Linked DNA regions of Lepisosteus oculatus. The protein of the gene in region 4 interacts with the protein of the main gene of each other region in a biochemical or structural test. Links are inferred from orthologs where the notes say so. Each region holds a gene or a part of one and is shown on either strand. Other genes may lie near its edges.

Region 1 (7,791 bases), on a different chromosome or scaffold from region 4:
GGCTGTACTCACTCCAGCTCACGGGTCAGCTGGGAGCTCTTTAGGTTGTCCACAACTCCATCCATCTTGGTGTTCACGTCAGCCACATACTGCCAGAACTGGTCCACCATCTCCTCCCATTTCGTCTTGGGCTCTTCACTGGGCACAGCACGGGCCTGACAGCCTGGGGACACAGGTCAGTGAGTCTGTGTGTCTTCTAGTCCCTCTGGAGTCCAGCACACTGACACAGCCCAGTCACAGGCTCTAGACTCTTCTAGTCCCTGTGGAGTCCAGCACACTGACACAGCCCAGTCACAGGCTCTAGACTCTTCTAGTCCATGTGGAGTCCAGCAAACCGACACAGCCCAGTCACAGGCTCTAGACTCTTCTAGTCCCTGTGGAGTCCAGCACACTGACACAGCCCAGTCACTGGGCTCTAGACTCTTCTAGTCCCTGTGGAGTCCAGCACACTGACACAGCCCAGTCACTGGGCTCTAGACTCTTCTAGTCCTTGTGGAGTCCAGCACACTGACACAGCCCAGTCACTGGGCTCTAGACTCTTCTAGTCCCTGTGGAGTCCAGCACACTGACACAGCCCAGTCACAGGCTCTAGACTCTTCTAGTCCCTGTGGAGTCCAGCACACTGACACAGCCCAGTCACTGGGCTCTAGACTCTTCTAGTCCCTGTGGAGTCCAGCACACTGACACAGCCCAGTCACAGGCTCTAGACTCTTCTAGTCCCTGTGGAGTCCAGGACACTGACACAGCCCAGTCACTGGGCTCTAGACTCTTCTAGTCCCTGTGGAGTCCAGCACACTGACACAGCCCAGTCACTGGGCTCTAGACTCTTCTAGTCCCTGTGGAGTCCAGCACACTGACACAGCCCAGTCACTGGGCTCTAGACTCTTCTAGTCCCTGTGGAGTCCAGCACACTGACACAGCCCAATCACAGCGATCTAGACTCCTCTAGTCCCTGTGGAGTCCAGCACACTGACACAGCCCAGTCACAGGGCTCTAGACTCTTCTAGTCCATGTGGAGTCCAGCACACTGACACAGCCCAGTCACAGGCTCTAGACTCTTCTAGTCCATGTGGAGTCCAGCACACTGACACAGCCCAGTCACAGGCTCTAGACTCTTCTAGTCCCTGTGGAGTCCAGAACACTGACACAGCCCAGTAACAGGCTCTAGACTCTTCTAGTCCCTGTGGAGTCCAGCACACTGACACAGCCCAGTCACTGGGCTCTAGACTCTTCTAGTCCCTGTGGAGTCCAGCACACTGACACAGCCCAGTCACTGGGCTCTAGACTCTTCTAGTCCCTGTGGAGTCCAGCACACTGACACAGCCCAATCACAGCGATCTAGACTCCTCTAGTCCCTGTGGAGTCCAGCACACTGACACAGCGCAGTCACAGGACTCTAGACTCTTCTAGTCCCTGTGGAGTCCAGCACACTGACACAGCCCAGTCACAGGGCTCTAGACTCTTCTAGTCCCTGTGGAGTCCAGCACACTGACACAGCCCAGTCACTGGGCTCTAAACTCTTCTAGTCCCTGTGGAGTCCAGCACACTGACACAGCCCAGTCACAGGCTCTAGACTCCTCTAGTCCCTGTGGAGTCCAGCACACTGACACAGCCCAGTCACAGGCTCTAGACTCTTATAGTCCCTGTGGAGTCCAGGACACTGACACAGCCCAGTCACAGGCTCTAGACTCTTATAGTCCCTGTGGAGTCCAGGACACTGACACAGCCCAGTCACAGGCTCTAAACTCCTCTAGTCCCTGTGGAGTCCAGCACACTGACACAGCCCAGTCACTGGGCTCTAGACTCTTCTAGTCCCTGTGGAGTCCAGCACACTGACACAGCCCAGTCACAGGCTCTAGACTCTTCTAGTCCCTGTGGAGTCCAGCACACTGACACAGCCCAGTCACAGGCTCTAAACTCCTCTAGTCCCTGTGGAGTCCAGCACACTGACACTCCAGTCTGGCTCGACTGTGCCAGAGACTCACTTACCTGCAATGACAGCCAACACCAGAATCACAACCAGAGTCCTCATGGTTCCACAGGAGGGTTTGTGCAGCAGCTGCAGAATGAAACACAAATGTAGCTCCAGATACAGCAGGGAGACCGAGGGAGAGAGGGATGAAGAGTGATAGAATTAGAAAATAGAGAAACAGGAGTGAGAGAATGGGAGAGGGATGGAGAGAAGAGTGAGAGACGAAGTACAGGCTCAGTGACCACAGCCTGGACACTGACACTGGACACAGGCAGACCTGACTGCCCAGAGAGGACAGGCTCAGTGACCACAGCCTGGCCATAGACACTGGACACAGGCAGACCTGGCTGTCCAGAGAAGATAGGCTCGGTGACCACAGCCTGGACACACACACTGGACACAGGCAGACCTGGCTGCCCAGAGAGGACAGGCTCGGTGACCACAGCCTGGCCATAGACACTGGACACAGGCAGACCTGGCTGTCCAGAGAAGATAGGCTCGGTGACCACAGCCTGGACACACACACAGGACACAGGCAGACTTGGCTGTCCAGAGAGGACAGGCCGTGGTCCCACTGCCAGCGAGGGTAATCAGAGACTGAGGTGCACTTCCTACTGCACTGTGACAGATTCTCTGGGATTAGAGAGACATTCTTCCCCAAATTTACACATCTGATCCCAGAATTCCCCACACCTGCCAGAATCACAACAGCTCCCAATCCTACTGGGAGAGGGAGAAGGAACTCAGTTGAACTGGCAGCCCAGTGTGTGATCTCCTGTCCCAGCCTGAGGACCAGTGAGCCTGTCTCCCAGTACTGCTCTAGATGTCTATATGTAAATATCGTATGACTGTGTCTGTGTTGTAAATGGCTGTAGATGTTTCATGTTTATTGTATTAGTTTTGCTTTGGCAACACTGATTGTAGATGCCAATGAAACTTCTTGAACTGAGCAGGACTGAGAGGAGAGAGAAGTGACTCTGTCTGTTAACAGGTCTGTTTCTACCCCCTGTTTGCGCGCACCTCCCCGTGATTAAGCTCCGGAGCGAGTCAGATCCACTCGGACAGCAGCGCGTCCTCAGAGTCCCACAGCACCCCACGCCCGGACACCCCACGCTCGCGTCGAGTTATCGGCTCGTTCGTCCGGGCCACATCGGCGCGTCAGACAGCGAAATCGATCTTTCATAACTCCGTCTCAGAATCAAAGCGCGCCTTATAATTGATCACCCCGCTGCCAGAGCGGTGCTGACATCGCCCCTGCTCCACGAGCAATCGCGGAGACGTTAAACCTCCCACTCAACTCGGACCTGAGGTCGGCGTGTAGCGTCTACAGAAAGGACCGGCTGTCTCACCTGGATCGATGCTCCCCGCCTTGCCTCTTCCTCGGTGACTTTCTGCTGTGTGCGGACCGCCTTTTTATACACGCGTGGGGTGGGGTGTGATGTGGGATGTGCGTGTGCGTGTGTGTGTGTGTGATGAAGTTCCTCGCGAGGTTACTTCGTGCCAAAGCGGGCGGGCGCTCGGGGCGCGCGCGCGCGCGTGTGTGTGTGGGGGTGGGTGTGGATGCGCTCGTGTCCGGGGACAGGCAGGGGTCAGCGCCGAGCTCGGCAGCCCGTGGTGCCCAGGTGCGGCGAGGCGTGGCGCCCTCCGAGGTCCGCGGTCCGAGGTCCGAGGTCCGCCCGCCTCTCGCTCAGCGCTCCTGCTATCGGCGCGCAGCGATAACGCGCTCACCCGCGAGCCCCGCATTCTGATCTTATCGGGCCGCGCCGAGCGCAGACAGGACAGCCCCCCCACCCACCCCCCCCGGGGAGAGCGAGAGGGAACCGGCGTCAAGCAGCCCAGCTCCCAAGACGCCTCTTAGGAATTCATCATTAACTGTAACCATTAACCAAAACTCAAACTCCAGGGAGAATGAGAGGGCGCAGCGTCTGGCACAGTACAGGCAGAGGGGGAGACGTCTGGGGGGACAGGGCACATACCTCGGAGCCTAGCAACAGGAGAGAGGTTACACTCAGACACTCAGACACAGCCCTGCTGCTCGCTGACTGATCCCAGCATCATCCAGCTGTTTCTCCCCAGGAGCCCAAGTATCGGCTTCCACATCCTGCCCGGACGATCCCCCCCAGCTGTGTCTTGAGTGACGCCACGTTACTGCCTTCCACAACACGGCTTGGCAGTCTGTTCCACCCTCCCGCAGCTCTTTGTGTAAAGACATGACTCCAGGAGACAGTCTGTGCCACGGGCGCTGGATACTTGCTGACTGATCTCTGACTTTGCTCTCTTTTCCCACTGTCCTGTGGCTGGCTGTGCTGTGTAGGTACTGTAGGTGTCTTCTGCACTGTTGTCTGCTGTGGTGACTTCTCTCTGATGTGACGAGTGTGAGGATGAGGCAGGCCAGTGGAGCTCAGAATTGAACTGAGAGACGGAGACAGAGCTGAGAGCTGAGATATCAGACAGAAGGATTATCTCACTGGGCTTTACAGCACTTTACTGTGCTTTTACCCTGATCTCACTGGGCTTTACTGCACTGTACTGTGCTTTTACCCTGATCTCACTGGGCTTCACTGCACTGTACTGTGCTTTTGCCCTGATCTCACTGGGCTTTACTGCACTGTACTGTGCTTTTACCCTGATCTCACTGTGATTTACAGCACTGTACTGTGCTTTTACCCTGATCTCACTGGGCTTTACTGCACTGTACTGTGCTTTTACCCTGATCTCACTGGGCTTTACTGCACTGTACTGTGCTTTTACCCTGATCTCACTGGGCTTTACTGCACTGTACTGTGCTTTTACCCTGATCTCATTGGGCTTTACTGCACTGTACTGTGCTTTTACCCTGATCTCACTGTGATTTACTGCACTGTACTGTGCTTTTACCCTGATCTCACTGGGCTTTACTGCACTGTACTGTGCTTTTACCCTGATCTCACTGTGATTTACAGCACTGTACTGTGCTTTTACCCTGATCTCACTGGGCTTTACTGCACTGTACTGTGCTTTTACCTTGATCTCACTGTGATTTACTCCGCTGTACTGTGCTTTTACCCTGATCTCACCGTGATTTACTGCGCTGTACTGTGCTTTTACCGTGATCTCACTGTGATTTACTGCGCTGTACTGTGGTTTTACCCTGATCTCACTGGGATTTACTGCACTGTACTGTGCTTTTACCCTGATCTCACTGGGATTTACTGCACTGCACTGTGCCTTTACCCCGATCTTACTGGGCTTTACTGCACTGTACTGTGCTTTTACCCTGATCTCACTGGGCTTTACTGCACTGTACTGTGCTTTTACCCTGATCTCACTGGGCTTTACTGCACTGTACTGTGCTTTTACTCTGATCTCACTGTGATTTACTGCACTGTAATGTGCTTTTACCCTGATCTCACTGGGCTTTACAGCACTGTACTGTGCTTTTACTCTGATCTCACTGTGATTTACTGCACTGTACTGTGCTTTTACCCTGATCTCACTGGGCTTAACAGCACTGTACTGTGCTTTCACCCTGATCTCACTGGGCTTTACTGCACTGTACTGTGCTTTTATCCTGATCTCACTGGGCTTCACTGCGCTGTACTGTGCTTTTACCCTGATCTCACTGGGCTTTACTGCATTGTGCTGTGCTTTTACCCTGATCTCACTGGACTTTACTGCACTGCGCTGTGCTTTTACCCCGATCTCACTGGGCTTTACTGCACTGTACTGTGCTTTTACCCTGATCTCACTGTGATTTACTGCACTGTACTGTGCTTTTACCCTGATCTCACTGGGCTTTACAGCACTGTACTGTGCTTTTACCCTGATCTCACTGGGCTTGGTGCTGTGCTTTTCCACACTCTGACACACAGATGTGGAGATGCTGAGTTTCTCAGCTTTGCTTCCTGTTGGTTGGGGGGCTGCAGGCAGGGGGGTTTCCGAGGGCAGCACAGTACCGAGCCCTGGCTCTCCCATGTGCTCGGGAGTCGCTGGCGTCGTCCCTCCCTGCCCCCCCACCAGAGCGCCAGCACCACGAGGTCCCAGGCCACCGAGAGGGAACTGCTGACAACACCGTTCTCAGCTTCCTCAGTCGCATGGGTGTGCGTCACCGAGCACTCGGGGATGTCAGATCATCTGATCCCACAACTGGGCCAAGAGCCGACAGCCAGGTCTGCCTGTGTCCAGTGTCAGTGTCCAGGCTGTGGTCACTGAGCCTGTCCTCTCTGGACAGCCAGGTCTGCCTGTGTCCAGTGTCAGTGTCCAGGCTGTGGTCAGTGAGCCTGTCCTCTCTGGACAGCCAGGTCTGCCTGTGTCCAGTGTCAGTGTCCAGGCTGTGGTCACTGAGAGCCTTTCCTCACTGTACAGTCAGGTCCAGTTTCTGTGGCCAGGCTGTGGTCTCTGAGCATGTCCTTCCTCAGGGTCTGTTTCTCCTTGCTGTTTCTTACACTGCTCAGGTATTCTCCTGGTGTGTGTTGTGTGTTTAGGGTTCTGTAGCATTCCAGTGTGTGTGTGTGTCCCAGTGGGTGAGGCAGTGTTGTTTGGCTTGTGCTGTGAAGTGCTTGAGCCTCGCTCGTGTTGCTGGAGCTGGGCTGTCCTGGGCCTGGATGGTGTCCGTGAGCCTCAGGACCAGCTGGCTGAGGGGCTCTTCTCTGGGCTCAGCAGGGCCTGGTGGTGGTAGATTTCTGGTCACTGTCTCTCGGGGGTAACCAGTATTCTAGAGCTGTCTTGAGTAAGTTGGTTAGTACTGGGTATTGGCCTTATTTAGTCCTGCATGCGCTGTGAGGAGTTTATCTTTGCACACAGGCTGTTTTTACAGAGCTCCATGCGCAGAGTGTCTATGGGGTGTTCGTCCCATTCAGTGTTATCCTGGTCTGTGATTGAACTCCACTCTCTCTCCCTCTCTCTCCTCCCTCTCCATCCTCTCTCCCAGCTCTAGATAATTTCTCTAGGATAAAGAGAGGCACGGGGACACTGGGGAGGAGAAACAGGTGAAAACAGAGGAAGAGAGGGGGTAGTGGGCCGGGCTTGGGTTACTCTGCTTACAAAAAAAGGTCGTTCTTTTGCTTTTGTTACAAAAAGAAAAACCTTTTGAGAAAAGAAAAAGATCATACAGTACACTGGGGTTTTCTCATTTTTTCACTCTTTATTCGCATAAATTAAGGAGGAAAGCAGCACAATGTTACAGTACAGAGTAAGACACACAGGGGAGACCCCCCACACTCTTGCCCTGCTCGAACCCCGAGCCAGGCTGTGCTGTGTGATGGGGGACGGTCAGCGGAGAGAGGGATTGTGGGAAGGGGAAGCTCGGCGCCTCCTCGTCTTACAGCCGGGCTCCTGAAGACAGCTCACACACCCCCTCCCCGGGCCATGGTACGCTCCGACCCCAGGGGCAGGCCTGGGTGCGTCCAGCGGAGCAAACCATCGGCACCCTCCGAGCGGGGGTGGTGGTGGTGGTCTGTGTGGCGGGAAGTGCGCGGGTCCAGGGTGCGGGAGAGATCAGTGGAGGGGGGCGATCCGATCTAGAAGCTCTTCTGGAAGGAGTCCCAGAGGGAGGAGAGCTGGGCCCGCAGGTCCTGGGCGTAGGGGTCCAGCCGGCCGCGCAGGTCCTCGGCGTAGGGCGCCAGGCTCTGGGCCAGGCGCTCCTGCAGGCTGCGGGCGTAGGGCGCCATGCCGCTGCGGAACTCCTGCACGCGCTGCTCGATCCGGGCGCGCAGCTCGTCGGCGTGGGGGCTGAGGCGGGCGCGCAGCTCCTCCACGCCCCCCTCCAGGCGCCCCTGCAGCTCCGCGCTCCGCTCCTGCAGCGCCCGCCGCAGGTCCTCCGCGTTCTGGCCCAGCGAGTC
Region 2 (8,292 bases), on a different chromosome or scaffold from region 4:
GTCCGTGCTTAGGGGCTCAGATAATGTCCAGTAGAAACCTATGCCCCCAGGCTGCAGAGGAGATGCACTGGTGCTAGGCGGGTCTCAAGACATCTGAACCCTCAATGCTAAGCGAAGAGCAAAGGGTGACTCGGAAATATATAGCCCCACACAAGGACACACTGGAAGGACAAGAAAAGCACAGGGAAACTAGGAACAGGACAGAGTAGGTGTCCTCTGGACGTTGAAGGCGTGACAGCCATATAATTTCAGTGGACATTAAACAACAATCTTCAGTTGACAAAGACATTTAATCATTTTCCATGAATAACAGGTGTTAGGAAGTGAACAGTGTGTTTAACTATATTTTTTGTTGTCTACTGTTCAAATACATGTGTATAAATGAGAGTAATCCAGATATTGTATGAGATAAAGTGCAAATAGACTAATTTTAAAAAGCTTTGTTTTCATTTCTTAAGACAATACCTCAATTTAATTAAACAAAAATGAAAAATTGATGAAAAGTTAATGATTTTCTTTAATATACAAAAATACATAACCTATACCAAAACACAAGAACTGGATTGAGTGCTCTCTAATATACCATTCACAGTGATTACATGTAATACCAACATAAAGAAATGCTTTCTGTGAGCATCTATCTGATAAAGATTCAACGTACTAAAGAACCGTTGAATTACTAAGGGATTTCCTGTAGAGTTTTCTCTACTGGAAATATATATATATATGATGAATTAATTTTAATTTTAATCCTTAACTAATACAACAGTATATTTTTGCAGAACATCTCAATCTGTTCCAATGTAATGGACATGCATTACATCAACAGCTAAACATTGTATTTTTCAGCATGAATCAGGTAATTCACTTTTTAGTATATTAGTATCAGCCTCTGTCGTAAATGTGGTTCAGTCACTAAACATCAGCTGCTGATCTGTATTCAGAATACACATCTAAATTAGCACATTAATAGAAAAATAAATATATAAATAATGCTTCTGAACTACTGTATGTTGCCTTGCAAAACGTAAACCAGCTTGAAGGCTGCCATACAAAGGAATGAAGTGCAGTAGTGAAAATAGAAATAAATCAATAAAAAAGAAGGCGTTATATGCAGGATTTTATCATATTTTAATAGTAATAATGTCAGTAAAACTGAGTGACCTAACCATATTTCACACCGATTATACAGGTATATCTTAGCTTAAGAATTTTTGTTGTTGTATAAAAACAGTCAGGCCACTACATATACTGTACATGCATTCAGTTTTAGAAGTGAAATATTCCAAATCATTAAACAAGGGAGAGAAGTACAGTACATGTATCATATTTATTTTGGGCTGTGAATATTTCTTGCAATTTCCATTGTGATGTAGTACAATGCGTCCCTTATGTGTCTTTTGAATTGCAGGCAGTTGAGCAATATTTCAGACAGCTGATGCATAATAGCAGCACCAAAGGCACTTGCAAAACACAGCACACTGCAGTTCCACTTCAAATAATTCCAAAAATCAGCAGTGTACTGTCTCTCTGAAAAATACAAGTGACCCAAGTTGTAAAACCTAAAGAGGATGTCTGCAGTAGTAAGGCACATATATAAAACAAAATCTGACAAACCCTTAAAAGCTGTAGTCTGTTTGACTTCCTCTTTGACTTCCTCTTCTCCATTGTTTTTCAATCAGTAATACAGTACATATGCTTATGTAGAATGTCGTCTAATTCCTTGTACAATCAGTGAGGTAGAAAAAGAGGATAATTTTAACACACAGCAAGTTTAAAGGACATACTATGACTGGCAGTTTAGCCAAAGAACTGGTCTAGAGCACGTACTCCAGTTATATTACTTTCCTTACAGCCCTTTGCTGACTGACACAGACACACATGCAAAAATGGGGCACAGACAGTGCTGTCACACTTCAGGATTGAACTAAAGCTTCACAGCAGGTACAATATAATGACAAGCCCCTTTTAAATGTGCTCTTTCAGAAATAAGAGTTAAACTTTTACAGGAATAACTATTTGCATTTTGATTCCATCTCACACAGAATTCCTTTTGAGCTGTTTGCCTCAATGGAAAAGAACTGTAATCTTTTGCATTTATCCTTGTACAAATACATACATACTTAGGGCGTTTCACCCCTTTAAACTCCATTTAGATCTTATTATTAGCCACTAACTGAAAAAAGACATCCAAGATCTGTGATACTTGTAACAGGGGTGTATTAAGCAAATGCATACACCTGTAGAGAGATTGATAAGACAAAGACTGACATACAGTAAAGGTTGATATTTAAACACCAAGATGGACTGCAATTTTATTGATGGAGAGCTTGTCTTGAATAATCAATGTAGTACTTCAATATTTATCTTAATCCTCTTTATGGAATTAGAAAATCAATTTAATAAAGATATGAGAGACATGAGGAAAATGAATTAAAGTACATTTTATAGTTTAGTGAAGCTAGTCTAAGGTTTTGATGCCCCTGTATGTGATCATATCCCGAAGTACTACACATACAGAGGAGGAGTACAGCAGCAGTAGAGCTGGAATTGATGACAAACTGTCTACTGTCTGTATCCAAGCAGACCCATTGCATTTTCCATTCCATAACATAAACCTCTAAAAAAACACAAACACAAAAAACTTGGAATTAATAAGGCTGAAGTGGGACAAATCACCACTCACAGAGACAGATGCCTAATGCAGCTGTGTTCCAAGGTACTCCTGCAATAGCCTTCTCAATGACATTTTACTGACTGGAACGCCCAGGGTTTCCCTCCCTGCACTCCTGCAATGCAATGAAAAGCAATGTGATAGACAAATTCTCTTACCTTGAGCTGGTGTGCAGCTGTCCCCCATACAGACCCCCTCACTCCCTCTGGCGTGACTCCCACCTGAAGAGTCCTATTCCCTTTGACTTGTCCCACTCCAGAGGCTAAGCCTTTCTGTTTGGAGAAGGTAGACCCCCTTCTTTTTGGGAAGCCTGCCTTGCAAAGTGGTATCCGAGTAGGAAAAATCCTCAGCAGCTCCAATCCAGCTTCAGCAAACACCTACAGTCACAGCAATAGCGGCAGCAGCAATCTGCAGGCCACATCGTTCATACCTTATACATCACTACCACATTCCTCCTAATAGCAGATCCCTCCACCCCTCCCCTCTCTCCCATACCCTCCACCCCTCCTTCCCCGGTATCCTTGGCAATGAGGATTTTCACAGGCTTAAGGAGGAGTAAGGCATGGATGAATTGATTTCCAGAGGCAGTACGTCCTTATCAGTCTCCTGCTAAGCACTCAACTAAACAGCCCCATCAGAACTGCATTGTTAAAAAGGAATAAATATATAATATATAATCCATAGAATACCACACATTCCTGTAATGTATTTAGAGCATAATGCATGTATATCATATCGTTTTCTTTCTTTCCCTACTCATTAATTCACCCTCAAATGTGTATTTAGAGAAGAAAATCATTCTGGACCATCAAGTAAATATGGTAGACAGCACCGTGCAATTGTTACATTAAATTCAGTTTGCATAATGCAGCATTAATAACTCAAGCAGGAGTGACCATTTGGTTTATATCACTGGGAATCTATTTACATAATCAGCATAAGCAATTATGATTCAAACATCTTGCCACAAGTTAGGTCTTCGAATACCTGCCAATAATATTTTTTGCAATGCAATGGTTCAAATAGGTATGCAGGATGACTGCTAGAACATTCAGAGAGCAAATGCTCATAGAGGTTTATTGTGTTACATAAGAAATAACCATGTTAATACATTAGTTGGCATATAATCAGAGGTGTGATTTTTTTTTACATTAGTTCTGCGGATATTGGGGGGTATGGTATCTTACATATAACATGTCAGATCCTTTAATTCCTTGCTCATCACCTCTGGCACGAACTTTGTTACAGTAACAGTGTTCACATGTGCTTTGTAAAAAGACAGTAGAAAGATCACTCCATGGAAAGTCCTTTGCTTCACATTACTGATTGTTTACAAGAGTGTCTCTAAATAAACACTTGACATTGCCAACAGAAAAGTTTAGATATGACATTTGAAGGTGTCCAACCAGTTTCATAGACCTGGTGTGACAAATTTTTACTTTCCAGTGAAGAACTTCAAAATCAAAACCATCATTACTTCAAACTACAGTGTGTCAACAAAATATTCAGGCCCTTGTTCAGTCTAAAATTTATTACCTTTAAACTTGCAGTCAAGTTACTTTTAGAAGTTCTTAATATTTGTTGTATACTTAACACACTCCACAATTTCAAACCAAAAATTAAAAGAGCATGTAATGCAGTAGCTGGATACAGCTGCATGGGTGGTGATTTGTCAGAACCCAAGTACAGGAGACCGGAGACTGAAAAGTAAAAGATGATAATGAGAATTAATTACTGGCCAATGGGGCTAATCAGCCCAGGTCAGTTAGTAATGGAAGAAATCATCGATCCTAGGAGAAGCCAGGCTAACCACATCCCTGCTGAAAAGAAAGGCTACTGATTAAAGCCCTTTGGAGGGAGTCTTGGGTATGGAAGGGACCCCAATACTGGATCCCTGAAAAGGAACTGAACTGGCTTAGAAGGCAGCCCTCAAAGGCCAGGGGTGCAGATCGGAAAATTTGAGGGTTGAGGTGATGAGCAGTGAAAAGAAAAAGTGAAGTTAAAAGGTACTGGCTAGAATAGAGACTACCGCCTCAGGTGATGCAGGGTAATTGTGAGCTTCCTTGGAAAGGAGCTGGACAGATAGAAGGGCCGACTTGAGGCCGGGGGTGGGGGAGGGAGATGGCAAACAGAAGGGATACAAAGTTCTGAGCTTGAACAGAGGCAGCTCTAAGCAGAGGAATGGAGGTACTGTGTAGAGACATTTTAATACTTGAGAGAAAGGAGCAAAGAAACCTGTCTGGTGAGTAGTTAATGAACAAAGGGGAACTACAGCCTACAGGAGGACTCCCGATATAGCCCAGATGTATACTGGGGAAATTGGACTGTGTGGCATCCCTCTTCTATGTGTTGCTGTACTTCTCTGTACCATTTAGACCTTCTAACACCCTCTCCTCATCATCTGAAAGGACAGCAGACACTCAGGAAATCATTATGATGCTTGGAAGTACCTTTTTGTTGCTGAGAATGCTGTTTTCTTTGGGTCTTGGAGTAATAGTAAATGTTGTTGTGCTTAGAAAATAAAAAGGGAACTTATATGATACTAATGTTTGTTGCTGGTTTGTGTGTGCATTGGTGATTCTGGGATATGAATAGAACCTCTGGTTTAGTAGAGCGGTCCTAGCCTCCTGTTTGTATTGCTAGGTGGTGTAGTCATATACGAGGCAGGAAATAATTATTGTTTGAGGGGTCACCTCATTGTGTCAAGAGCCCTAAAAAAAAGAAAAACAGACTTCAGGACGTTCATGAGGCACCAACATACTGTAAGTGCAGTCAAGACACAAATGTGGGGTGAGACAGAAGTGCAAGAGAACGTGCATGTGGAAAAATGAAGAGCAGCCCCTTGGCTTTATATAAAAAAGTGGGAATTGAATAATGAGCTAATTAACACGGATCACAAAAACATGATCTGGTCAGAGCAACAAACCCCTGGAAAACCATGAGCCCTTGTTAGAATATGATGGTTTTCCAGGGCAATCTCTAGCCGAAGGACGTCGTCATGACAGAGAGAAATAAAATATCTAATTAATACGAAAGAGAAATAGAAAAAGCCATAACTGCATTAGAATACAAATCATTGTTGTGTCAAACCTAAATTAATTTGTAACCAAATTAAAGAGCATATTTAGTTGAGTGACATCTGACGTGTATGATAATGTTTGCACATAACTCATAATTTCAGAATAAAAACATCAGGCTCTGTGAAGATTCTTGGTTAGGTAGTGAATTTAAAGCAAAGACTCAACCATGGAGACTAAAGAGTTTTTAAAGCAAGTCAGGGATAAAGTTTTTGTAAAACACAGTAAAGGGTACAGAAATATAGAAGTCTCTGAATATCCCTCTGAGAAAAGTCTACTCAGCCACTGAGAAACTGACAGTACCTTTTACCACTTAGATACTGAATTGATCAGGCTTTCCCTCTAAACTAAGTAGCTGAGCACAGTGGAATTAGGTTAGGCAAACCACTGTGATAGCACAACACTACCAATGACAGCTTTGAAAGAACTACAGAAATCAATAGCTGAAATGGGAGAAAATATGCTTGCTTTCACTGGAACACTGTGGAGTGATCTAGAGTTTGAGACGGTGGTCGGCCAAACTTCCACTCACCTGTCACTCAGTACTGGTAACAACAGAAACAGATTCTGACAGGCAACTTGTATCACCTGTGGGCAATTTAAATCCACATCTGCATCAGGTGATGCAGAATATCCAAGGTCAGACATTACTCAGGGCTCTGATATACTTGTCATGTCCACTGCTTAAGGTGGAATTAACCAGCAGCTGTGAGAGACGTAAGATGAACCCATGCACTGGGCGAAAGAGAGAAAAGTGCATAAGGAGAAGTGCAGGCAAATATGGTGCGGACAATTACACTGTGGTCAGATTGTAAATGGTACAAAGCTAGAGAGACAGTGAAAGCATAAATGGAATTCCACAATCATAATTGAGACAAGCAGGCATAGTTCATAGCACTGGAAATCACAGAAGCACAAAGGGACAAATCCACAGAATTGATCAGGTTGAAGCTAGAGTCAAGAATCCAGGAAAATAATAAACACAAAGTAACTCAGGAACAGAGCGAGGAAACAAAGCTGAGGTCAGAGCTAAACTCTATACCAGAGCCGTGAGTACTGTCCAAGCAGACCTTAAATATTCTGCACCACTTGATGTGGGTCTGGATGCAATTTGCCCCATGGTGATAGAGGTTCTTGTTGGAATGTGTTTCCTTGGTAACCGGCACTGAGTGACAGGTGAGTGGAAGTGTGGCCGACTCCCATGGCAAACTCTAAATCACTCATCTAGCTCTCGTTCCAGTGAGAGCAAACCTGACAGCTAAATTCTATAGTTTTGCAACAAAGAACCTGCAAGATCCTGCAAAAAGAACAGTAGTAAAAGGTGCTGTGGTCAGATGAGACCAGATTGGAACTTTTTGTGAAATAAATAAATATCAAGTATCAACAACACAACACATCTCCTAGTAAACACCATTCCTACAGTCAAATATGATGGTGGTATTATCATGTTAATGACATGATTAACTTCTGTAGGGACTTGAAAGCTTGTTAGGATTGAAGAAAAAATGGTTGGAGTAAAGTACAGGCAAATACTAAAGGAAAACATGTTTCAGTTGGCTAAATACTTAAAACTCTGATGGAAATTCACCTTTCAGCAAGACAATGATCTACAGCACGGCTATACTAGAGTGTCTTAAGAAAAAGAAAATGAATGTTCTTGAGTGCCTCAATTAAAGTCTTGACTTGAATCCTACTGAAAATCTGTGCAGACTTAAAAACTGCTGTCCATAAGCAATCTCTAAACAACTTAATAGCAGCTTAAGAAAACCTGAATAAATCTGTCAAGACAAATGGGCAAAAATTGGACCAAGACAGTTTTCAAAATTGGAAGATACTTACCTACAAGACTCATGGCTGTTGTTGCTGCTAAAGATGCTTCTACCAAATATTGAGATTAGGGATTGAAATTCTTACAAAACTAGCATATTTGTTGTTAATGTTTTTTTCTAAACTCTTACACTTTCAGTTTATGCATTCATGTTTCAATCACTTATTTAAAAATCAGTATGTATAAGTAATATCACAAGAATGGACACTATAGGAGAGGTCTGTATATTTTTATAATGAACTGTAAGTTATTTACAAGTGATTCTGTAAGTCAAACCCTGATATACTCCTTTATTTTAAAATTAATTTATCTTCCATACTAGAGAGACCTTCAGAGGACAGTCTTCATATATAGGTTTTTAATTAGAAGGAAAAGGAAAAATGGGTAATTTCAAACAATCCAAGTGCTAACTGATAGTTAAGACCTTCTGACAGAAGAGACCTAGAAGCTATTGAACCTCTGAAAGGCAAAGACGTTTGTAAATTGCACTTTAGATCTGATCATTTCATGAAAACCCATTAATTACTTCAGATTTCAAACCAGCAATGAAGCGCAAGCATTATAATTGAAAGGAGTTCCTGTGATGTGCAACAGAGAGGGGTCAATTCAAGAAGAATGGGAATGAGCTAATAAACCGATCACGACAATTAAGCACACCAATATCATCTTAAAATCCTTTTATCTCCCAGATGGGTGGTTTTAAGCATTGCTAG
Region 3 (7,713 bases), on a different chromosome or scaffold from region 4:
TTTTCTCTGCTTAGATCAACTTCCACCTGCCTCTACAACCAGTAAAAGGCCACCGCTGGCACGTGTAAGAGAAGAAAACAGTCAAACGCTTTTTCATGTTTCCTGCGAGAGTCAGATAAGGCTTTGATTGTGTACCTAGGAGCTGGACCCCCTGACCTCACCAGCAAAGTGACTTTTCTAATGAACCCTGAAGCTTCTGCCTCATCCACTGTGACACGGTGTACAGGAAAGTGAACACATAAATATGAAAAACGTTTCGATTCAAAAAAAGAGAGAACAGGAAACGACCTCTCGCCCGGCTAATCACACAGCGCGCAGGCCTGGTTCTCGACCACCAGCGGCGGACGGGCTCTCGAACTGCTCGTGGACAAATATCGCGTGGGGAGTGGACAGTTCTGCGTTCACGGACGCGACGGGAGTTTACGGATTCAGCTGTGTTCCTAAATAAACAATCATGAGCATGATACTTTAAATATTACTGCGGACTAACCCGTCCCCTGTGTGTGAAAACGCACATTTCCTGTAGTGCTGTACCTACTGTGTACCTCTGGTTAAAAACGTCCACGCACGACAGCGTGTTCAGACCTGCCAATACTCGGTTGTGAACTTGAATCTGGATGGTTAGGTTTCAATCGTCGCTGTAATACGGAAGCGCATCGCTCTCATCAACGGAAAACACCTATTTCATGTGTTGTCTCTGGGACATTATCGCGTACCTTTTGTGATAATCGTGCGATAGCACTATTGTCAGAGAATACCTGAATTATCATTAGTTGACTGGTAGTTTTCGGCAGTGGAATCGATCGCACGGTACACTTGATTAAAGGATTAGTGTGAGCGCCCTCAAGGTTATAAGGGCTGTGGAATTGTAACGTCATGAACCCCAGTCGAAAGAAAAGTCCATATACCTTTTGCAGCTCTGGACACCGTCAGTAACACTAGACACACAGTTCCTGCTGAACTATCTGTAACTTCTATGTGCTGTGTCATTGCACAATGTAATAAGCTGTTCATACACTCAAATTATCATTGGTATCTCATAATTCACGATAATTTACTATTTTGTAATTACGAGATGGTAGTTTCTCGAAATTACGAGATATAATGTACGATGTCGTAATTACGAGATCATTTTCTCGAAATTATGAGATAATGTACAATCTCATAATTACTAGATAGGTGGAAATCCTAAATCACGAGAAACCGCTTTTTTTCCCCCTGTGATGGCAGCAATGCGCTTCTGTGCCACGATAAAGCCCTGTTTCAGATAGAAAGAATCATCTTCCCACGGTTCGTCCGATTCCCACGGCAGGCAGGTCGAAACCACACCTACAGTATTACCAGTTACCTCCCCGCGTGTTCAAGGACACGGTCCACCCACAGACCCCGAGGAACTGGGTCCGAGTGCCGTCGCCAGCCCGGCAGCGGAGCTGAAGACACGGGAAAAAGGGAGGGAGAGAGAGAGAGCGGCGGGAAGGGAGAGACGGATCTGGCAGGAGGGGAGAGAACTGTGGATGAGTAAAGCTTTAGTCACCATAGCCCGGCAACCAGAAACTCTCCTCTCCGGCAATTACAAGGCGGAAGAGACGGGAGGCCGAAATTACTGGCCAAGACCCAGCACTGCGATGACTTTTGACCCCGCTAATTCAAGGAAAGAGCTCATTTTCTTCCTCAGCTGCAAGGCGATACCTTGTATTAAAAGAAATAACAATAATACACAGTCCAGCTGTTTCGTAACTCAGGGTTCGTGTTCCATATATTTTCCCATTTCCTGGATAAGAGGTGCAACCGGCGCGGCAGGAGGAATAACCAGTTTTGAATCCCAGGGTTTTTTATTACCGGCTGTATGAGGTTTGACACGTATTGCCTTCATCCTACAGCCACCTTTCCAGGACAAGGCCGTGATAAACACGGCAAATACCGTATAGCCTTGCAGGTCTGAAGCGAAGGAGAGCAGAAGAAATCTCCGGACGCGGAGAGACTTTCTGTCGCCCCGGCCGGGCAAAGTAAAACCGGTCGGAATCTGTCGGAGCCTGTGGTTCCGTTTCCCTGCCCTGATTAAACTGTGAGCCGCGGAGCTTGAACCACTGTACGTTTAGCGTTGTTAAGACCGACCGGGTCGCATCTGCCGCGTAGCCCGAGGTCACGCAAACAGCGGCGGAGAGCGACACCCCCGAGGCAGCGCAACACACATCCCAGGGGCTCGGCTAATGCGCCAGCGAGCGGTACACCACCTCTTGCTCTAATCTCCTGGTTCAGATCCAGCAAGGGGCTGCCGGTAACAATAGAGTTCTTATTGCAGCGGATTCCTAAAGCACTGTACCCTCCTGTATAAAAGCGGGACACCCCCGCGCTGTGGAGAGACAAAGGATTTATTCAGCCCGTATAATTCCTGCCCAGATACTGTAGATGCTCGTGCGTGTCTTTCTCAGCACCTTTTGCGAGACAAAACCCCTCACGTCACTGAATCTAAGGTAACGTTTCACGAACGTTTTTTTTTTTCAGTGCAGATACGGAATTGCTGTACTCTTCTGTTTTCCGCCTGCACTGTCTGGGAGCCCTCGTTAAAAAAAAACAGGGAATCTGGAGACGAAGGGAGGACAACGTCTTATCTAAGAGTCGAAATCTCTGGGTGCGCTCATGAAATCAGAGTTTGCAGTGAGATTCTGATCGTGGTTAATCGACGCGGAGTCGCAGAGGACTGCAGAGCATCCAGGCTTCAGAAACGTCGCGGATGCGGCATTCAGAATCGATAACAACTTCATCGCAAGCTTTTCGCTACAGTCGGGCAAAGAAAACGAATAGGGCAGTCTGCGCTTTGGCAGTAACGCTGTGAATTCGTAGTTAAAACTTTGCCGTCTCGCGTTTTTCTTCATCATTTCCAGTTTCACACAAGCTGCAGTAGGAATTAGCCTGAAATAACTACACGATTACTAAAAACCTGCAATCGCAAACGTGTAATTGCCGGACGCATGCTGATAAGGAGTGATACTGCTTTATTCAAAGTATTACAAAAAGTAATATATATTTTAAATTAAGTGTCCCCCAAAGATGCAGCAGTATTATCGATTTCACCAGTAATAAACATCTGCAGTTACTAAGAAAAGAAGAACATGAGATGTTTTTAATGCAGCTGTTACCACTGTGCGGAAAAACAGGTGCGCTCTTGTACAGCAGCTATAGTGTAAACTATATAGTATAGTATATGGATACTGTATACTCTACTGTATACTATATATACTGTATAGATACGACTTGTTATCACAAGAAGGTCGTTCGTCGCTTTGCTGCAAGTAATGGTTTTAGTAAAAGTTTATAGCGCTGCACTTGTTAAAGGGTGCCAAACGGACAACTCACCTTTGAAACCAAGGTCTCCCTTCAGTAGTCTGGCTGTGTACTCGATGGGCACGGAAGCGATCGCAGTGCGGTTCGAGTTCTGTCGGGTTCGGTTAAGTCCAGTCGCTGTGTTTGCAGGCTCGCTGACACCAGGCTGCTCTGCCTGCCTGCAGCGCGGAGCCCCTATTTATGCGCGCCGAGGTCTCGGTGAAGATGATCCGGCAGCTCTGAAGGGGAGGTGACGGGCACCTCCCGCCTCTCTCCAGGCGGGGCTCATCTGGGGCACCAGAGAGACGGATAGGGTGAAGTCGCCGGCTGGCACCGGGCCTGACCCGCACATTGGATGGATTCAGGATGGGGGGTGAGTCAGAGATAGGAATAGTTATACAAACCGATTGTCATCAATTCGGTTCCGCTCCAGATTAAGATTTTTCATAAAGTAGTTGGAAATGACGTGCCGTGACCTCAACTCCGTTGACAGTTTTAAGTGTGTGCTGTGTTGGTTTTATAATCATTTGTTTAGCGCCTTTTACAATGGCGGGCGCGCGTGTGTATACAGTATATATTTTATAGGTTCGTTTAATGACTCGAAGGGTTTTACTCGCGTTCGGCTGTGCAATGTTTCGCCCCCGAACACCCGTGGTTTTATAAGAAAGAAAATGAGTTGTCATGGTCCCGACAGGAAAAAAAAATACAATTCAAAGGAGATTGTTTACCTCTGAGATCTCCTTCGAGAAGGAATGTGACCCCCCTGGCGGATGATATACTCCAGAAAGAGTCCTGTTACAGAGACGGACGTTTTCTAAAGAGGAGAGTAGATGAAGCAGGTCGCAGGGCGGCCTCTAAGAGTTGTTTGGAGTCTCCAATTGCGTGTTTTCGCAGCATTTATAGAAAACATCATCATCATGAATGAGTGAATAAGATACTGAAGATGAATAAATAAGGTACTTGGTTACATAAATCAGCACTTAAATAATTCCCAGTTTTGCTTCTGGACGTGCTGGACACGTATGAATAACCTCAGAAGAAAACAGAACTGAGTCCTGTAACATCTCGATAATCACTGCTACTCTACATTAGAAACATCAAAAATAATAATAGGATTGATTTACCGCCTGTACTCCAACTGCTGTGCATAGTGATTCCTTTTCTATTTCAGTGGCAACGGCTCCTGCTGCAGTCACTAATACTGCTATACTGTACTGCAACTCGTACTTCTGCTACAGTCACTAATACTGCTATACTATACTGCAACTCGTACTTCTGCTACAGTCCCTAATACTTCTATACAGTACTGCAACTCGTACTTCTGCTACAGTCACTAATACTGCTATACTATACTGCAACTCGTACTTCTGCTACAGTCACTAATACTGCTATACTATACTGCAACTCGTACTTCTGCTACAGTCACTAATACTGCTATACTATACTGCAACTCGTACTTCTGCTACAGTCACTAATACTGCTATACTCCTGCTCCTGCAGCTCTTACTTTTGGTGCAGTCACTAATAGGGCTATACTACTGCTCCTCTGACTCGTACTTCTGCAACAGCCACTAATACTGCTATACTACTGCTCCTGCAGCTCTTACTTTTGGTGCAGTCACTAATAGGGCTATACTACTGCTCCTGCAACTCTTACTTTTGCTACAGTCACTAATACTGCTATACTACTGCTCCTCTAACTCGTACTTCTGCAACAGCCACTAATAAAGCTATACTACTGCTCCTGCAGCTCTTATTTTTGCTACAGTCACTAATAAAGCTATACTACTGCTCCTGCAGCTCTTACTTTTGCTACAGTCACTAATACTGCTATACTCCTGCTCCTGCAGCTCTTACTTTTGCTACAGTCACTAATAAAGCTATACTACTGCTCCTGCAGCTCTTACTTTTGCTACAGTCACTAATAAAGCTATACTACTGCTCCTGCAGCTCTTACTTTTGCTACAGTCACTAATACTGCTATACTCCTGCTCCTGCAGCTCTTACTTTTGCTACAGTCACTAATAAAGCTATACTACTGCTCCTGCAGCTCTTACTTTTGCTACAGTCACTAATACTGCTATACTACTGCTCTTGCAGCTCTTACTTTTGCTAAAGTCTTTAATACTGCTGTACTCCTGCTCCTGCAACTCATACTTCTTCTACAGTCATTAATACTGTTATACTACTACTCCTGCAACTCTTACTTCTGCTACAGACACTAATAAAGCTACTGTATATTACTGCTTCTGCTACAGTCATTAATACTGCTCTACTACTACTCTTGCAACTCGTACTTCTGCAACAGACACTAATACAGCTATACAATTATTAGCTATTAAGCTAAGAATTTATTTATGTGTGTTTGTATATATTAATGTGCATTTTCATACTAAAGGTGTTGGTCTGTCAGTACAGAAGGGATGAAAATGATTTGGATAACAGAGTCTGGTGGAATCCGAGAGAGCTAGAATACACGAAGCAGTCACCGAAATGCCTCCGCAGAGCTTCTTCATAGATTTGTCGTTTTCATTATGCAGCATATCATATAGGACCAACAATGAGAATGATTAAGTCACTTCAGACACTCTATTTTAAAAGGAACAACACTGTATTCTTTTTGTTACTTTTTTCTTTGTTTTACCAGTGTCCGTTCCTTTTCTCTCCATGAGGTTTAACTTTTATTTTACTGCATTTCTGGCATTCTCTTTGAATTTCTCAACAGACGGAACTGCCCCTTTGTAATCTTCAGTAAAAGGAATCTTCCGGTCTGACAAGGTGCCGCCTGACATCATACAGTGGCGACGTAATAACAAAACAAGCGCAGCCCTGGGCTCGAGCTCGCAGGAATTCCGACTGTACAGAGGACCGCGCGAGCCTTCACGATCACGTGATTTATCGCGTACTTCTGACGCAGGTCAGGAAACCCCAATTTGCGATTAGCCAGAACAATTAACCAAGTCAAGCTTATATTGTTACAACGTATATATCGCCCGTGAAATAAACTGGAACGAGATCACCCCCTGTAACACCCTGTGAAAACTGCATATCGACGCCTGATAAGCAAATAAATACAATTAAAGAATGGTAATAATTGAAAATAGTAATATTAGTTTTAAATTCGGACTCTCCTCAGTCATTAAGTATTATTAATTAAAAGAGATACTGGCTATCTCAACAACAGAGACAGACAACAGAGTTGTGTTTCTCTACAGTCATGCCACTTTGTGAAACACATGCACAATAAATAAACACGTTTAAGAACCACCTCCCTCTGCACTTCCATGACCTGAGAGTGACATCATGTCTTCTTAATTGAAATTGAATCCAGTATGCGAAACTGACAGAATTTGCAAGTGGACCGTAAAAGACAATATTTGGAGAATTTTCTTAGCAACCCGCGGCGTTAACATCTCATAATGTGGGCGTTTTCAGATGAAATGCTACTCATTTATGACTATTTCTGGTGAGATGATGGATGAAAGTACGGTTTGCGCCGTATCTCGATCTAATCAGTGCGTTTCGCCGGCAGATACCATAGGAGTCACCGTGTGACGTCACTGTTTTAGTAACCTTTATGGAGCGCCCGTGCGCCTGATGACCGAACGGATTTCTCGAACCGGATCCATGACAGCACTCTGGCACTCAAGCCCATAACATGCTGTCCGCGTGTGTCATGCTGGCTCCGGCCGCCCCGGGCCCGGCAGCGCTGTCTGTCAGCAGCCCGGCTGCAAGGCACTGCGACGCGGGCTTCACAGAGGACAGGCGCTCCGCGGGCTTGTCCGCCACTGCGCCTGGTGGAGTCAGGCGCAAGACCGCGTTAGGAAGATATGGGACAGCTCCGACAAGTGCAAAGCGTTCTTGAAAATCATTACTGACTGTTCCCCGTGAGCTGTTGTTTTACCCATGCCCCTCGATCTGTATCCATATAGGATCTGTATTTAAAAGGGTTGGTTTTGTCTATAGCATCTGTATTTAAAAGAGTGGATATCTATATACTGTAGGATGTGTACTTAAAATGAGGGAATATATACAGCATATAGGATCTGTACTTAAAATGAGTGGGTATGTACAGTATACATACTGTATATGTTTTTAAAGTGAGTGGATATGTATATAGAATCTTTGTTTAAAATGAGAGAATGTGTATATATGATCTGTATTTAAAAGCGAATGGATATGTAGATAGGACCTGTATTTCAATTAGTGGATATCTGAATTTAAAATGAGTGGATATGTAGATCGGATCTGTGTTTAAATGAGTAGATTTGTGAGTTAACGTCCAAAGTGTGAAGGCAGTTTTGTGTCCCCGAAGTCAGCTGAAAATTTAGATCTAATTGTGCTCTGGTTTCCTCCACTGGTCCGAAGACACACTGGCTTCTGGGAAAA
Region 4 (8,138 bases):
TCTTTAGTCTCCTGCTATGAAACTGTTAAGGTAGTTGGAGTCCACACAGAATCAAGGTAGTAATACACTGACTTCACAGCTGTCACAAACAATCCCAGGTTGTTGTTTTTTACCTCAAAAAAAAGTCTCATTTCTGCATTTTAGAAAACTATTCAAGATATTTTTGAAGGGGTGGCCAGTGTGTGGAACAGAAACGCACTGCATAATGAATGGCAGGCTACGCGAAGCGAAATTAATTCCACTTTAATATGGACTGCAAGCAGCGAGGGCCTAAGGTTGAGCAACTGTAGCTTCAGCACATTTTGTACTATAAAAGGTACCCAAGCACTATTTTTGAACGCCTTAAAAAAACTAAAAATAATAAAGGACCTGCCCCATGTCTCAGACAAAATACGTCTTAACGTCTTGGAGCAAAATATGGAAATACCATTCTCTCTCCTGCAACCTTAGAACAGCGACAGGCATCGCTTCCAAGAATTTCCAGAACGTTACTCAGACCTCATTAGTCGGAACTGAAAGGACGAAAAAGTCTCAACAGCTGTGCGCGCCCTGTCTTTAAGCCAAAAGAAAACGCTTTGTATTTTTCTGTTTCTAGAGTAGCTTATTACGAGGTATCGTGAGGCTAATTACATGGCAGGGATTGTGGGGATATTGTCATTAAAATAGCTGAGAGGGGAGGGGGGCTGCTCTTCACTCGGAAGTTCAGACAATATCGCGACTTGCCGACAGAGGAAAAGAAATGTTTCTTAAGCGAACACTTCCCCTACACACGCCCCACGCCTTCATTACTAAACGTACCCAGAGCGACGCGCGCATAATTGTTTCCAGAGCTCGGAATCTGCGACGCTATCTGAAATCAATTCAGCTTTTTCAATACCCTCCTGCCTGCCTGGCAGTGGGACGAGTTTCGTAACTCTGGCTCCAGATGTGCTTTAGGTGCTGCAGAGTGTCCGAAGCAAGAACGAGCCAGTTGCTGACCTGCAACAAGCCAGTTAAAAAATAATGAACAACAGTTGTGCGCAATGATAGGTTTGTGAAGTAGCCCGTTTGGTTGTCTTTCCTGGCTCATACGAATACCGCGATTCTACCGTACGTGCAAAATTCAGCATCGCCAACTTTTGAACGCTTTTCGTTATTCGGGAATAAACGCATTTCATCGGGAACACAGCATGCTACAGCCCCCACACACACACAACACACACTTCAGTTTAAAAGGCGGGCACCGCTTCAAATCTCCTCTCCCTGTTGCACAGCATTTCACAGGACCCTGCCGAGCCGAGCAGCTCCCTGCGAGTCGAGTCCCCCTGACACGCACAACCGCAACGTTCACACTCCGGCGGCCCCCTGGTCTCACCGGACTGCCTCTCCCCGCCGAGCCCCTCACAAAATCGGAGGAGGAGGAGGAGGAGGGGGGTTGGTGAGCAAAGGCAGTAAGAAGAACGCTATGAATTAACCATCAGCGCGGGAGTGGAGCGGAGCCCCAAACCGACTGTGTCAACACACACAGCAACACGCGTTCTCTCGCCTCGTGCAGTCGGGAGCTGCACAAGTTTCCGACGGCAGTCACCGCTCGGGCAGCTACACAACTACACACGTAATCTCTCCTGCCGCCCCCTGCGCCTTCAGTCTCTGAATCAGTGCTGTTGTATTCCCCACTCCTCAAAATCTGCATCCAAGTAGGATCGTACTTTTTTTATTATGAGACTTTGCACTTGACTTTTCCCAAAAGCGCCCTTTTCGTTTTGGGTGGGAAAACTGTAACCCACCTAGCGCCGTCTCGCGAAAAAGGGGGGAGAAAGTGTTTTTAAAAAAGCATTTCAGGACTGGCACGAAACCATCAGAGATCTGTTGATCGCAGGAGAAAGCCGTGTGCTGTGGTTACTTAATCAGACAGGGGGAGCAGGCCCATTGCATTCTATGGCGCTGTTTATACAAGCAATTTATTTTAAAAAAACGGGGGCTACAAGGAAATACGCTCTCGCTAGGTACAAAATCAGGAGAGCGCCTCACATTCCCTACCAGTGAGGATGAAAAACCGTGCATGCGAATGTTACATTGTTGTGTTTGAGGCGAGAGAAGCAGCGGAGATGTAACAAAAACACGTTGATGCATTTTCTGGAGACCTCCCCCGCCTGCAATCACACGGCAGAAAAATCCACTTAACCCGCCTTTTGTTTCCAACTGATAGCCGTATATTGAGACGGTTTACCTCTAAGAACAACATCTCAAGCCATGCAAAAACGGGTTCTGGGGTCCCGTGAGCACGGTTTGTTTCACTCTCGGAAAGGCACACAAAACACACGTTTACCCGGACTTATGACAAGCATGCAGGTAGCCGAGCTAACGGCAGATGCCTGTGCGTGTGACCTGGCTCACAGAGGAAAACGTTGCCTGGTCTCTTTTACAGGCGGAAAAAACAACTGTCCATCCCCTAATCGCCCGCATTAGGAACACACAATTTCACGAAATGCTGCGAGGCACGCACGACAATTCAGGTAAACCGAGCGAGAGCTGAACATAAAAGCGTCGTTTCCACTTCGGAAATGCGTTCACCACGGCAGCAGCGGATAAACAGACGCGTACATCTGTCTGGAAAGGTGCAGCGTTTTTAATAAATCACGGCTTCTTACCATCGACGGCTCTGGCGGGAGCCGTAACCTCCAGACTGTGCAAAATTCCCAGGACAAGCAACACCGTGGCCAGAGCCTCTGCCTTGTGAGACACCATGGTTGTGCAAAAAAAAAAAGGGCAGATTAACAGAAAACCGAAAAAAGATTTCAAGAAACACACAGCTGGGACTCCGGTTCTTCCCGAACCGCGGTTTTGTAGTCCGGACTCGAATCCCCGACGAGATTCTCCGGGCGTCCTCCGGCACGCACACTCGAAATAAAGGTGCGACGACAATATTCAGATTTTTTTTTTTAAATGCCGTTTTTTGATCTGAAAAAGCAAACGAGGCTTCTTCAGCCCCGTGAGGCTACGGCTCGTCTTGTGGTTATCATGTAGCCTTATTGATTTGCAGCCACATCTACGTAGAAAAAAAAAAAGGACCTGAGGTGGTCAGTAAAGTGACCAAATCGTGCGCATGAAAAATAAAAAGGAAACGTTATCTGATCTATGGATATCGGCTGTTTTTGTTTTCTGTCTCACTGACTGTAATGTTGATGATATTGTCTGCAGGAGGAAAAAAAAAATTAAAAAGCTCCTCTCCCCTCACCACCCCACCGCCGCCTCTGTTGCTGGTGGTTACGGATTGAGCGGAGAAGAGCGGCGCTGCAGCCACACAGCCCAGCGGGCAGGGGATGACGTCACTCGCTCCAATGGTATTCCGAAGCCAGGAGCAGCTACGCGGCACTCGCCGTGTGCGCACGCGCCGGGGTCGGCGTGCTGGGTTTTTTTTTTACCTTTTTCTTCATCGAGCGCACAAGAACCTTTTGAAACTGCCTCTCTAATTGCCCCCATTTTGGATCTGGCGGCTTCAGGCATAGCTGTTAGAGGCCGGCCCCGTGGACTGGAGCCAAAATGGGTTTAGTTTCATGAAGTGAAAGGGGCACAGGGAGGGAGAGACTTTCACGGCGCGAGTCTAATGCATAACAAACCTTCTGTCATTTCTCCTTCCGTTTTCACTCGTTTAAAGTGACTTTGCAACGGTGGACAAAATAGCACGACACGAATTTTATGAGTGTTGGATTTTGGTTTGTGCTTTACGAGTTTGTATTCTGTACGGCTCGCTTATTCCTGCTTAGAAATTGAAGACATTCAGCAAATGTAAGCAGAAGTGCCTTAATTCTTGTGAAAGAACAGTGCCTGGTTCGTGTGCTGATCAGCCCTCAAATAGCCCAGTGCAGGTATGCAGACACGTTAATTCAGAGGGTGCTGCACAGAAATGTCAACTGTACAGCTCAGATCTCTCTGTATATCCTGCTCATCAGCGGGAATACTGGGAAGAATATTTCACTGCCTCGTGCTTCATGGGATTTCAGAATGTCCTCCTTTGGACCGGGGTGTCTTATCTGACCAGCGTCTGAGCTGATCAATCAAAAAAGCAAAGAAAAAAGTCTTTCACAGTCTCAGGCAGACATTAAGAAGACTTGCTCATCAGCAACTGATATTATCAATTTGTTCCAAAAGATTAAGAAATCTTACTTTCAGAGAAACTATGGCCTTTGGCCCTCGTGTGGGCAGGGCTGCTCCTATGTCTGCTGTTGCCTGTCCTTTGATGATGCTGGACATGGGATAGTGGTAATAGAAAATGCTCTTTTCTCTCAGTAGGTCAGGAAGGTAAAGTGCAAGATTCCCAAGGGTAGTACTAGTTTACTGGGGGACCCCAGATAGAAATGTTAGGGTCCCAAAAAGAAATACCGTCACACATGGATTTAAGTGGATTTCTCCCACACTACTGTCTCTACAGTGGATGTCTCCCACACCGCTGTCTCTACAGTGAATGTCTCCCACACTGCTGTCTCTACAGGGCACTGCTGTCTCTGCAGTGGATGTCTCCCACACTGCTGTCTCTACAGTGAATGTCTCCCACACTGCTGTCTCTACAGGGCACTGCTGTCTCTGCAGTGGATGTCTCCCACACTGCTGTCTCTGCAGTGGATGTCTCCCACACTGCTGTCTCTACAGTGTATTTCTCCCACACTGCTCTATCTACAGTGTATTTCTCCCACACCGCTGTCTCTACAGTGTATTTCTCCCACACTGCTGTCTCTGCAGTGGATTTGTCCCACACTGCTGTCTCTGCAGAGAATTTCTCCCACACTGCTGTCTCTGCAGTGGATTTGTCCCACACTGCTGTCTCTGCGGTGGATGTCTCCCACACTGCTGTCTCTACAGTGTAGTTGTCCCACACTGCTGTCTCTGCAGTGGATGTCTCCCACACTGCTGTCTCTGCAGTGGATGTCTCCCACACTGCTGTCTCTGCGGTGGATGTCTCCCACACTGCTGTCTCTACAGTGTAGTTGTCCCACACTGCTGTCTCTACAGTGGATGTCTCCCACACTGCTGTCTCTACAGTGGAGTTCTCCCACACTGCTGTCTCTACAGTGGATGTCTCCCACACTGCTGTCTCTACAGTGTATTTCTCCCACACTGCTGTCTCTACAGTGTATTTCTCCCACACTGCTGTCTCTGCAGTGGATGTCTCCCACACTGCTGTCTCTACAGTGTATTTCTCCCACACTGCTCTCTCTACAGTGTATTTCTCCCACACTGCTGTCTCTATAGTGGATGTCTCCCACAGTGCTGTCTCTGCAGTGGATTTGTCCCACACTGCTGTCTCTGCAGTGGATTTCTCCCACACTGCTGTCTCTGCAGTGGATTTGTCCCACACTGCTGTCTCTGCGGTGGATGTCTCCCACACTGCTGTCTCTACAGTGTATTTCTCCCACACTGCTGTCTCTATAGTGGATGTCTCCCACACTGCTGTCTCTGCAGTGGATTTGTCCCACACTGCTGTCTCTGCAGTGGATTTGTCCCACACTGCTGTCTCTGCGGTGGATGTCTCCCACACTGCTGTCTCTACAGTGTAGTTGTCCCACACTACTGTCTCTAAAGTGGAGTTCTCCCACACTGCTGTCTCTACAGTGAATTTCTCCCACACTGCTGTCTCTGCAGTATATTTGTCCCATACTACTGTCTCTACAGTGGATGTCTCCCACACTGCTGTCTCTACAGGGCACCGCTGTCTCTACAGTAGATGTCTCCCACACCGCTGTCTCTACAGTGGATGTCTCCCACAGTGCTGTCTCTGCAGTGGATGTCTCCCACACCGCTGTCTCTACAGTGGATGTCTCCCACACTGCTGTCTCTGCAGTGAATGTCTCCCACACTGCTGTCTCTGCAGTGGATGTCTCCCACACTGCTGTCTCTACGGTGGATTTCTCCCACACTGCTGTCTCTGCAGTGGATTTTTCCCACACTGCTGTCTCTGCAGTGGATGTCTCCCACACTGCTGTCTCTACAGTGGATTTGTCCCACACTGCTGTCTCTGCAGTGAATGTCTCCCACACTGCTGTCTCTGCAGTGGATTTGTCCCACACTGCTGTCTCTGCAGTGCATATCACCCCAAGCAATTGAGGGCACCACTCTCCTGGAATTGTATCTTGGTAAATATTATGAGAGCATTAAAACATAAAAAGGTTACAGACAAGAGTTTGCCTTTTTGTGCTTCTACCTCATTGTTTTTACTAGTGCCTAACTGATCCAAGGATCTCCTCCTGCCATTTCTTAAAGAAGCCAGGGTAACAGCTTCAGCAATATGCCTGGGCAGCAAGTCCCAGACTCCCACTGCCCTCGGCGTAAAGAAGTGCCTGCTGTTCTCAATTTTAAAAGCATTTTCCTGTAGTTCTGTAGTTTCCACTTTTGTCCTTGTTTCCAAAATAGTACATGGGGCTGACTTTTGCTGTTTCAATTCAACAGACATTATCCCTGTCTTGAGTGCCCGTTAAAAGAGTTGTATATGAATAACATAGCTTGTTTCCTTTAGAACAACTGGCAGAATACCATCAGGCTCTAGAGATTTTATCACAAATAGTAATTTCAATGGTAATTTCAGATACAAGTTCGCCTGGCTTTCAGTACCTAGTGTTTTACATTTTTTAACTGCTGCATTACTACATTAGAGTATCACAGGATGCACACAGCAGGATGTTTCTCTGCTGATAACCTTTTAGCATAAGGGTATGTGTCACAATGTTTATTTGTTTTTCTCCCGTTTCTGAAATGTCCACCAGTCTTCAATTTGAGACTGCGTGCTTTACCCACCCACAACAGTGCACTTAATAAGCGGTGTCCTACTTAAATACACCCTTTCAAAACACACACACTGGGAGACAGCCACAAATATCTCCTGGCAGTATCCCGGAAGTAGTGCTGCTGTTTTTTAAAGAGTCTCCAAAGCCGACAGGAGGACAATCTGTGGGATCAAAGAGCATTGGAGGTTGGGCATCTCTGCATCAGATCTGGGAAGTTGACCCTGGGTGAACAGAGGGCTGGTCTTGGCTCACTGTTACCATAGCCAGCAGCCATATCACCCTGCAATTTAAGACTGAAGCTCAGCTGGTGTGAGCCTGGCCAGTACCTGGATGGGAGTCTAAGGTTGGTGCTGGAAGAGGTGTTAGTGGGGCCTGCAAGGGGCCCTCAATCTGCAGTCTGTGTGGGTTCTAATGCCTCAGTGTAGTGATGGGGACACTATACTGTAAAAAGGTGCCATCCTTCAAATGAGACATAAAACTCTCCTCCTGACTCTCTGTGGTCATTAAAAATTCCAGGGCGTTTCTTAAAAAAAGAGTAGGGGTGTTGCCCTGGCATCCTGCTCAAATGGGAAATTTCCCATTGGCCTTTACCAATCATGGCCTCCTAATGATCCCCATCCCTGAACTGACTTCATCACTCTGTTCTCCTCCCCACTGATAGCTGAGTTGTGGTGAGTGGACTGGCTCACTATGGCTGCTGTCACATCATCCAGGTGGGGCTGCACATTGGTGGTGGTAGTGGGATTCCCCATTACTTCTAAAGCGCCATATAAGTGTAAGGAATTATTATTATTACGTGTGGCCGGCTAGGGCGTTACATTCCTCGGTTTCACAGAGAGGCGTGAACTTGTCTAAGCAAACGTCCACCGTGTTCTCGAAACCAACGTGCACACTGACAGCCACTGCGCTGCAGAGGCTTCGGGGAAAAGAAGATCTCGGGCTGGTCTGAGTTGCAAGACAGGGGGAGGCTACCGAGACAGAAATGGTGCAGTGAAGGCTAACAAACCCTTGCGTCTGAAGTAACAGCAGTTTCTAACTCAGCTCGAATCCTGGTTTGGCAGGCAGGCTTTGGGAGTAGACGTGAGAGTAATTACACTCATTCCCATGCTGTCAATCCAGCATCTCAGATGCCTGTTGATGTCAGTCTCCGTCTCTTCCCAGCCCAGGTTGTCTTTGCATTCCACCCCCAACCCGAGCGATTCGTGAGCATGAAGGGTTTCTGCATCAAGGGTGAACGCTGAGCTCCACACGCTGCACACGAGAGAACACGCTGAGTCGGGGCCGTGCGAGAACAGCTGTCAACCAATGTGAGAGGTGTGAGTCACACTGCGGCCCGAGCAGCTGATTTGTGGTGTTCGAGACGATCGTGCTTTGGTTAAA

Evidence for each region.
Region 1: the proteins of low-density lipoprotein receptor-related protein 1 (region 4) and apoeb form a complex in vitro, tested with the Homo sapiens proteins (2 studies listed by IntAct, with this or other methods). The link is inferred for Lepisosteus oculatus from reciprocal best matches to the Homo sapiens genes LRP1 and APOE.
Region 2: the proteins of low-density lipoprotein receptor-related protein 1 (region 4) and disabled homolog 1 form a complex in vitro, tested with the Homo sapiens proteins (2 studies listed by BioGRID). The link is inferred for Lepisosteus oculatus from reciprocal best matches to the Homo sapiens genes LRP1 and DAB1.
Region 3: the proteins of low-density lipoprotein receptor-related protein 1 (region 4) and plat form a complex in vitro, tested with the Homo sapiens proteins (2 studies listed by BioGRID). The link is inferred for Lepisosteus oculatus from reciprocal best matches to the Homo sapiens genes LRP1 and PLAT.

What each region holds. Positions count from the first base shown.
Region 1 is NC_090722.1:10,419,167-10,426,957, forward strand, and holds the start of apoeb (apolipoprotein Eb), read right to left. Parts: upstream 3,429-7,791; 5' UTR 3,322-3,428; intron 2,060-3,321; 5' UTR 2,033-2,059; coding exon 1,990-2,032; intron 164-1,989; coding exon 13-163; exon of another isoform or gene 1-12. Other genes in the region: apolipoprotein A-IV-like, read right to left, coding at 7,471-7,791. UniProt on the Homo sapiens protein: APOE is an apolipoprotein, a protein associating with lipid particles, that mainly functions in lipoprotein-mediated lipid transport between organs via the plasma and interstitial fluids.
Region 2 is NC_090704.1:17,827,268-17,835,559, forward strand, and holds the start of disabled homolog 1, read right to left. Parts: upstream 3,106-8,292; 5' UTR 2,833-3,105; intron 1-2,832. UniProt on the Homo sapiens protein: Signaling adapter of the reelin-mediated signaling pathway, which regulates the migration and differentiation of postmitotic neurons during brain development.
Region 3 is NC_090697.1:65,895,053-65,902,765, reverse strand, and holds the start of plat (tissue-type plasminogen activator), read right to left. Parts: upstream 3,500-7,713; 5' UTR 3,358-3,499; intron 1-3,357. UniProt on the Homo sapiens protein: Converts the abundant, but inactive, zymogen plasminogen to plasmin by hydrolyzing a single Arg-Val bond in plasminogen.
Region 4 is NC_090696.1:18,807,212-18,815,349, forward strand, and holds the start of low-density lipoprotein receptor-related protein 1, read right to left. Parts: upstream 3,266-8,138; 5' UTR 2,728-3,265; coding exon 2,631-2,727; intron 1-2,630. UniProt on the Homo sapiens protein: Endocytic receptor involved in endocytosis and in phagocytosis of apoptotic cells. Required for early embryonic development. Involved in cellular lipid homeostasis.